2 linked regions of the Schizosaccharomyces pombe genome follow. The protein of the gene in region 2 interacts with the protein of the main gene of each other region in a biochemical or structural test. Each region holds a gene or a part of one and is shown on either strand. Other genes may lie near its edges.

The links.
Region 1: the proteins of gpa2 (region 2) and stm1 form a complex in vitro, tested with the Schizosaccharomyces pombe proteins (one study listed by BioGRID).

The regions. Positions count from the first base shown.
Region 1 is NC_003424.3:4,481,084-4,484,936, reverse strand, and holds stm1 (G-protein-coupled receptor Stm1), read left to right. Parts: upstream 1-1,737; 5' UTR 1,738-2,161; coding exon 2,162-2,977; 3' UTR 2,978-3,006; coding exon of another isoform or gene 3,007-3,044; 3' UTR 3,045-3,145; downstream 3,146-3,853. Other genes in the region: endodeoxyribonuclease Pnu1, read left to right, coding at 1-102; TIM22 inner membrane protein import complex subunit Tim13, read right to left, coding at 471-572, 616-684, 743-859; SPOM_SPAC17C9.11C (zf-C2H2 type zinc finger protein/UBA domain protein), read right to left, coding at 3,007-3,044, 3,203-3,779. UniProt on the Schizosaccharomyces pombe protein: Amino acid transporter that moves basic amino acids across the vacuolar membrane. Appears to function as an arginine/histidine antiporter.
Region 2 is NC_003424.3:2,515,361-2,521,090, reverse strand, and holds gpa2 (heterotrimeric G protein alpha-2 subunit Gpa2), read left to right. Parts: upstream 1-1,851; 5' UTR 1,852-2,775; coding exon 2,776-2,896; intron 2,897-3,059; exon of another isoform or gene 3,060-3,301; coding exon 3,302-4,245; 3' UTR 4,246-5,038; downstream 5,039-5,730. Other genes in the region: SPOM_SPAC23H3.12C (hydrogen/potassium transport protein), read left to right, coding at 5,218-5,730. UniProt on the Schizosaccharomyces pombe protein: Alpha subunit of the heterotrimeric guanine nucleotide-binding protein (G protein) involved in glucose-induced cAMP signaling.

The sequences.
Region 1 (3,853 bases), 2.0 Mb from region 2:
AAGGGTAACCGAAAACAACTTTGCAGTGAAGTGGTGTGTCAGTTAAATGTTAAGGAGTTTGTTGAATCAGTTAAACAAAAACAAAAGAATCAAGGTAAATGATAAGAATAAGGAAATTTAATGAATCTCTAGTTTTTCTAGTTTTTCCGGTGATCGTTCTTTATTATGAAAATATTTAAACTGTTATTTACACAATAATACTTAAATGCTACATGTCAAAGAAACAATTATAAGTATTTTACCCAGTAGTATAACAACACTTGTAAGTGTTTAGCATGATTAGGAAAAGAACATGAAACGAATTTTAATTGCTGAAAGTTTATAATTATTAGAGAGAAAGCGCGTGAGCTACGTTGAAAAGAAAAATTTCTACGTTGCATATTAAGCTTTGCCGTCACTTCACAACTATACAACAAGACACATATCATAGGAGAGTAAAACAAAATGATAGAAAAAAAAATCATTATTATTCAGTTGAGATTTTTCTGCTCTCGTTGCATACGAGAGATATAGGTTCGAGAAACAATGTTCCAAGCATCCATATAGCGTTCCATACATTTGGAAACGCAAGACTTTTGTCTAGTTAGAATAAAAGTATTTTAATAGTTCTCATACCTTTTCATTGGGATCGAATGTGGAACCAGGCTCCGGGATACATTTATCAAAACAGTTCTCATTGATTTTCTAGATAAACCGATTAGTTAAAACATTCAATAAAACATAAAAAATGAATGGAGCATACACTTATCAATTCGCCAGCTTGAGCAACAGCAAGTTCCTGACGAATTTGTTTCATGAAAATGGATTTTTTGTCTTCAGAAGAAGGTGCATTTCCACTATTTCCACCGAAAATGCCCATTTTGTTTAAGTATAACGTTAAAACTTATGAATGTGGATAATTTTTACTCCTTTACAAGGAAAATTAATGAGGAAATGGTACGTTCGTGGAAAGTACCAAACGGTGTACTTAGGGAGACTAATTCAGAAACCGGCCATCATCACCAATTAGACTTCGTTAATAGAAAATGGATTTTCTAATATGCTGACATATGCGATACAACCAGACAGCAATCTTTGTTTTGTTTTCTACTTGGTATAAAAAAAAAAGATTTAATAAAATATTTCTAAACTAATGGATAGATATACTATTCGGGTCCTTTTGGTGAGTTTAGAAATAAAAGTTTTTTCAGCGTTTTTTTATTATTATTATTTTTAATATTTTAATATACGAAATGAATCGTTCATGACTTTTCATTACCCTTGTTTAGAAAAAAAAATAAAAATCCCAATTTGTAAGAAATTTTTATAGAGTTTTATAGTCTCGAAATTAAATCATGGAATTAGCACATCTTTTACTGCAAATAATCTGAGAATCAAACAAGTCACGTAAACATTTCAATGTTTAATACTGCTAGCGATATTATGGTGTATTAAATTTTATAACAAAAACGAGTTAGCTTGACATTGATAAAATTAATGCGACTGTTATTTACATTGAGAATTATATTGTTAAGTGAAATAGGATTATTCGAAGGAAAATCTATTTCGCTTACTATTCCTTTATATTTCTTTAGAATGATACCTTTGGATTGACTATCAATTGTATCTGTAAATCCACGGACACTTTCTTAATTCTGCGAAACTGCATGGGCGGCAAATTTTTCTTATCTTGAAATCTCTATATAGCCTTGCCCGAGGTAAATAAATAACAGGACGGCTGGGAGGTTGATCTTATCCAGAGCCAAACTCACCACCAAATCTCTTCTGTTTCTTTACAGTGGGAGAAATATTGTTTACCATTGTTATTATTATTATTATAGATATTCCTTTTAGTGTTTATTTTTTAAAACAAAAAAAAATACTTGTAACGAATTTTCATTAAGTATCATCTCTTGGATCGCTAAAATAAATCAGCGAATATTATAGTGCTGAAGCATTACACGTTCGAGGAAGTTGACAAATTTTAATAATTGCTTATCATTCCTATTAAATTAATAGTTTGATTTCCCTTTCAGGTTGCTTCGCTTTTGTAGCCCTTTGTTTCCCGTTCTTTTTATTTATTGTCCTCCACACTCATATAAAAAACTTTGACCATAAAAAGCTTAGACAAGCTCTTCTCAAATTCATTTTAAAATTATCTGTTCGCAAGCATTTTTGTCCCATGTCTGTGATAGCTCCTTCTTTTGATATGGCTAACATACTCACGGAGTTGTCTTCATTTTTAGGAGCATTATCCCTGGGATGTTGGGTCGTTTTACTGATCCCTCAATTACTTGAAAATTATAAAAACCAGTCTGGTGAAAGTATCTCTGATTTATTTTTAATCATCTGGCTTATTGGCGATTTCTTCAATGTACTTGGTTCCATTTACGGAAATGTCTCTTCTACTGTATTGGTTCTCTCATTTTATTACATTGTCTCTGACAGTACCCTACTTATGCAAATTTACTACTATCGTTGGAAAGCTGCCCGTCGTATTGCCAGTCGTGAACACGAACCCTTACTCCAAAGTCGTTCATTAGAAGAAGGTCTTCATGCACCCATTGGTAAACAACAAATTTGGTGGGATCGCCTTTCTACCCGTCAACAATTTGGTGTAATGGGATGTGTGGTTATTGTCTCGACAATCGTTGGAAACTTAATTATTTCTAGTGCCTCTTCTGACAAGAGTGATGATGACTTGAATGCATGGCCGTTTACTGCCGGTTGTATCAGTTCTGTGTTATACTTCTGTGCTCGTATTCCTCAAATCATCAAGAATCACAAAGCAAAGTCTACCGAAGGATTATCCATTATCTTTTTTGTGTTGGCCTCTGTAGGAAACACTTCATACGCTTTCAGCATTCTCGTATTTCCCGCCTCCGATTACTTAAACTACACATATGCTAACCTGCCTTGGATACTTGGCGCGTTCAGCACCATCTTCCTTGATATATATATCTTCTACCAGTTTATCAAGTATCGTAATCATTATTAACACAGCATAATTATCAAAAGGTCATAACTTTACCATTGCGGAATAAGAACGGCTGAGGGAAACAAATCTATGCAAGCGTTAATAATATATTCCATGTCTATAGTTCAAAGTTTTCAGAGGAAACAAAGATATGTCGTTTAGATGCTAGTAGCAACACAATATTCTTTCAAAAACATGTATTCTAATGTCACACATGATGACAGTAAACACTAGTTTGATACTTACCAAGTTGGTTAACCGGTTTATCAAATACATCAGTGCCGTATGAGGCACGGGGAAAGGTAGTGGTAAACTTAGTTGGCGGTGACACGTTCATTTTCTCAGCGACCTGTTGTGCCAATTGGCGTAGCGTCTCCTCAGCTGCAATAGTTATATTACAAACTTGACCATCGTGTCGGATAGAAAATCTGCCTGATGTAGGAGGGGTGCGAGTACAAGTAGAAGACGAATTGGCATTTTTAGGCTGCTTGATGGGAGCAGCCGTTTCTTTTACAGAAGAATTCTTATTTTCCCGTTCTGCAGCTCGTCGTTTTTTATCGCGTTCAATTTCTGCGAGGATTTTCTTACGCTGCTCAGCATCTTCAGCCTTTTGTTGACGGATCTTTTGCAAGTCACGTAAGCGGGCTTGATCCTGCATCTTTCTCATAGCCTGTGCAGTTTCATCATTGGATTTTTGAAGGATTTTATAATTTGTCTTCTTCTCTTCCAGAGCCAAAATCCTTTCTTTTTCCTTTTTCTCCTTTGCTTTCTCTCTTAAAGCTTCAATAGCTTGTTTTAACTCTTCGGGAGAACGCTTCTTAATCTATGTTTTATAATCGTTGTTAATAAAAAGAAAGGATCGAGTGAAACAAATTATTGTTTTCGTGAATTATAATA
Region 2 (5,730 bases):
CATCGTTTTCACAATAGATTAGAAAATCAGAAAGTCGGTTGTTCATGATCCACTTTTTTGCACACTGTAAATATAGATATTGGACATATTCTCAACCAACTGGCAAAAGAAAAAAATTAGGAAAAAACAAGATTACTCTATATTTTTTCCGTTGTCTTCTAATATTGACTTAGCTAATGATTGATTTATTCAATTATTTTCTTATAATAATTTTTTGAATTAAATTAACATAGTTTTATTTTAAACTGGGAAGCGCATCTTGCTCATAATTCAAATTATTGCCCTAAAACCAACATGAAACAGATCCGGCAAACTAGTTTCCACAATATATCGGGATATATCAAGATATGCAAGATATATAAGATACACATATATAAGAGATATAAGATACATATTCAATAATTGTCAAGGATACCTATAATCAAGCAAAAATTAAACTTACGCAAATAAGAATTTCATCTTTATAAAAAAAAAAAAACCATCAAAAAACAAAACAATATAAAAACCCTCCCACTACATGTGAATATCTTGGAAGACTTTTTTTTATAACTAGTACATGCTTTTATTAGTATGTAATGAATAAATGAACGAACAACAACGGATTGACTTCAGTACCACATAAACATTACGAAACCTAGCTAATTCTATCTCACCTGAAGATTATTTTATTTTAGCGGGGCAAATGCAGTCCTTCCCGAACCTCCAAGACTAAGTAACCAGCAAGTAACGGCATCAGGATATCTTACCATTCTTACCCATTAAATTTAAGGAACCGAATGAAATTAGGAACGATGAGCAGTTTAACAAAGTCCTCCTTATTTTTTTTGCGTTGAAATGTAGTTTGTAGTGTCAAGCTGCTTTGTGCTATTTATCGAGCAATGAGAAATAGGAGAGGAGTTATGGTAGCAGGGTATACTTAGTAATGTTTTCATGGACCAAGCGGGGGAGGGGCGAAAAGCATGTCTAGTTCGCTGTATTCAGTTTCAAGACCCCATTTCATGTTTAACATTTGTTCTAGATACGCAAAAATCCCTTTTTTCTAGATTGTTTGCAAGTCCCCATGTCTTCTTTTTTTTATACAGCTGAAAAATTTTCCGACTGTCAGGTAAAACTGGTCAGTTGCGAAAACATGCTTTGCTTCATCTTGGTACCCAATCGTCTATGGATTTTTTATATGTTTCTTTCTAGCTTTGTGATAGCTGCCCACGCTTTGCGATCAAGTTAGTTGCCTTATCCCTTGTGCACTTTACTTTCATATCTGAGTAAATAAGTCTCCGTAACTGGAATTGAACTTGGTAAAATTGGGGCTTGAAAATTTAAAATATTATGAAAGTGAACAAACTCAGATTGGGAAAACACTCATTAAACATTGCTTGGAAAGATTGCGCGTTTTTTGGAACACTTCCTTTGGTCATCTTTGCTATCCCGATTGCTTGCATCTTCAGCCATAAACAAGGGACGACTCATTGAGTTACTAGAGTAGTAATAGAGCAGTATAGTTTAGTAGTATAGAAATGCTGGACCAACCAGTTAATGACATATAAACATAAAACATAAAAAACTATTTTGATGAGCGGCGCTTCTCTATGCGATACTTACATAGAATGCAAAGCTCACACAGGTCTCAGCTTACTGCCTGCTCCCCTCGCCCAAGGTCATAATCGAAGAGTAAGACTTACACTCCAATCTTCTTTACTTGAATGATGCTTGTTTGGTGGTATGTGTTGGATCCTTTTCCAATGTTACATTTTCCGAACTGTCCTCTCTACCCCACTCGAAAAATTAAAATCGTAAATGGATGATGCATGACGTAGTGCCTCATAAATACAAATTATACCAGAGTTGCCGTCTGTCTTTTTCGAAATAGTATAGACGAAATCACCGCTCAGGTACCAATCTAACCATAGTTGTTAGCTACTTAAGCTGTTTGAAGCATCAAAACGCTTGCCCTTTTGCTGCTGCTTGTTGGATTTAGGGTAGTGTGAATTGAAAGTAAGGATTTAATTGTACACTCGGTTAGTTGGACAGTAGTAAGAATTGAGATATTTTGCCTCTAATTCTTCTTTCTTCCTTGTACAATTCTTAATTTTTTTCTCGTTCATCGAAAGACGACGAGAAATCAATTTTCACGAGTTTCTCATTTGTCGCTGCATCTCTTCAACTGATTTCAGCCTTTTCTTCTTGCCTTAATCAACCTTGGTATTCACTCGTACTCACTGTGTCAATTAGCTAGCCGGCTAGCTTCCGACCTGCGATCCTTCCTCATTCTCCTCCACCCCCTGCTTTTCGAGGCATCTGGTGAAACTCAAAAAAAAGTTGAAATTGCGATTTAAAGGTCGCCCATAAAGGGGGTTAATCAAACTTTGCGCGTATAGTTTAGTGACTGACTAATCAATATTTTGATTATTGATTCCTATTCTGTAATATCCCCTTTTGACACCCGCACCCTTGTTCCTACTTAATCATACTTGCTACCTCAACTTTTTTTTTAATACTTTTATTTATTTGCGTTTCACTTTTCTTTCTAACTTGCTCTCTTTCCATTTTATTATTTAATCTTTGCTTTAATTGGGAAAAGAACTGGATTGAAGGCTTTTCTTGGAAAGTCCTCGCCTCTCTGCTGCTACACCTTACCTACCTGCGTTTAACCTTCTTACTTTGTTTCATATTTATTTCTCCCATCTTATCCCAAAAACCCGCTAGCTGTCGGATTGAGAAGTTTGGTGTCCTACTACATCCCCGTATTTATATTCTGCAGTAGTGGATTAAAAAAAAATGACGATTTTTAATGGATTATCTGAAAGCGGTGAATCAAAAAAATTGAACAGCAAAATCGAAAAGCAGATTGAAAATGCCTCGAAGAAGGATAAAAAGATTTACAAAGTGTTGCTTTTAGGTACGTAAACTACTCAATGTTGTTGTTGTTGTTCAATAGTTATATATGCTTGGGCAGTCGAGCAAAAAAGCAGAAAAGATTGAGAAAAAAAATAAAGAAACGAAATGAGTGAAACTATTTACGAAACAGAGAAACTGTTTAAGAAATGACAGAAAATGGTTTGTCTAATTGCGTCTACGTTCTCTACTCTTGGTTACCCTTTCCCTTCAATACTCAGTCAGTGAAGGTGACTTTGATAACGTTCTTCTAGTTAACCACTTTTCGTCGTCGTTGCATGTTGTAATCAGTTGCTCTACACTCTTACCGTTTCTCTCCATTGCATAGCACAGATTTTTTGTTTGATTCCTATAGCAAATTTTCCTTCCTTTGTTTCTTACAATCGTCAGTCTAACCATTGTTTTCTAGGTGCCTCCGATAGTGGAAAAAGTACCATCAGTAAGCAAATCAAAATTCTCAACAAAAATGGGTTTAGTCAAGAAGAGATTATGACATTTATTCCGGTGATCCGACGAAACCTGTTGGAATCTGCTAAAACCCTTGTTAAAATTATCGTTCAAAAAGGTATCAACTTGGACCCTTTAGGAACCCACAATTGCGAGATAATCGAAAAATTTAATCCAACTCCTGGTGAGCTTATTAATGCTAATATTGGCCAAGCTATTACTAGTCTTTGGTCAGCCAATAGTGTTAGATCCTGTACATATGGAAATGATTCCGTACTCATTGACTCTGCCCCTTACTTTTTTTCGCGAGCCGATGAAATTTGCAGTCGGCATTATGTCCCTACAATAGATGACATTCTCCGGTCTAGAAATAGTACTCTGGGTATTTCGGAAATATCGTTCACATTGGATCATTTGCAAATTCGAATGTTCGACGTTGGTGGTCAAAGAACCGAACGAAGGAAATGGATTTATTGTTTTGAAAATGTGAATTCAATCATATTTTGTGTTTCCTTAAATGATTATGATAAAAAGCTTTATGAAAGAGCCGCCCCAGAACGCAATCGTTTGGTTGAAAGTATTTCTTTATTCGACTCTATTATAAACAGTCAGTGGTTTATGCATTCTTCTATCATTCTGTTTTTGAACAAATTTGATTTGTTTCGGAAGAAACTGGAACATGTTCCGTTCCAGGATTACTTCCCCCAATATGAAGGTAAAAATTCTGTTAAAAGTATTACCCGGTATATTCTTTGGTTATTTGTGAACCCTTCTATAAATCGGGCTAAGCATAATATATATCCTCACATTACCACCGCTGTAGACACATCTAACATAAAGGTTGTCTTTTCTGCCGTTAAGGAAACAATTCTACAACACAGTCTGAAAGAAGCGGGAATGTTTTAATTTTAATTTGAAGATAAAATTTACCCTACCATTATTCATATGTTAACAGAAGACCTCTTACTGTCTGCATATGTCTAGAGAGTTCTGAAGCCTCCTTGTAAGAATCGCTTCTTTTACATTCGTTTATTTTTTTTTTTTAATATTGTCCGGAGTTTATTACACATGTTCTTTAAAAATATTTTTCCAATATATACATTGGCTGCTGGAATCTGAAATCACCGATTTGTCTGTAAGGAAAAGGATCGATCTCCTTTTCAGTTGTCTCAGAACGTTCACAGATTGCTATTAAATAATCTCTTTAAGATGACCAAGTTATACAGTTCTAGTTGATATAAATATTTTGTCATTTTTGCGAATATCAATTTGCATTTAATTTTTTACTTTAAACGATGCTGCTGGCGAATGCTTTTAAAGTTATTGAATACTTTCTGTTGAACATAGTCTTAAGATTGAGAAAGTAGATCTCCAGTTTTGATTCGAACATCTATCTCTGCTTTCAGAACTATTGCTATCACTTAATGCTGCTATTTATGAGGGTCGTAGAAAATCCGTTTGAGTACTAAGAGACTTTGAGTGGATACATGATTTAATCGCTTTTGTTTTAGTATTTAGTTTTTAATTGTTAGACTACTTGTATAGACTATTTCACTGAATCATCAAAATTGTTGTCTCTCTTTGTTGGCACCAGAGACTGATACTTTTTACCGACTTTCAGTATCTTTTCTTTAATATATTAATTTACTAATCAAAAAAGCTATTGAACACGTGTATTTCTGCCATGTATAATAAAAAGCCGCACTGTTCTGTATACGTATCAATTTGATTAAATTAGATAGTAATACTACTACATAGATATTCGTTACCCACTTTTAGCTTCTACTTTAGTATATCCACCCATCTTTGTGTTACTGCAGGTTTATTTATTTCAATATTTATTTTGTAAAAACAATTAAGTACATTCGTTAACTAATTATGAGAATTATTGCACTTCCTTTGCCAAATCAAAGGGTATTCTTACATTGTTATCCTTCTGAATACCTTGCCAAAAAAGTTACTATTCACGACAAAATTATAAACAGAATTTACAAGTATTGGGACTCCTGGAGTGCTTCAAAAAGCTATACCAAACAAAAGGTTGTGTCTTTGGGAAACCGAATTTTGCATGCAACTCCTTATGAAGAAAATTTTTTAAGGGCGATTGCTCCTGTTAAGAAGCTAAATGATACAGAATTACACCAAACTTTGTATATTGAACATCCTCCAAATTTGGAATCAAGTACTATTTTAGCTGAGTTGAATCGGTCCAAACAATTACAAAAGACCCATACAAATTACCTTATTGGTAATATTATTGGATTACCATTGACTATACCTTTCATTCTCATACCTCTAATACCAAATATTCCGGGTTTTTATCTTTGTTATAGAGCATACTGCAATTTTCGTGCTATTCAAGGGTCTATTCAATTAGCTCGGGTAATGAGC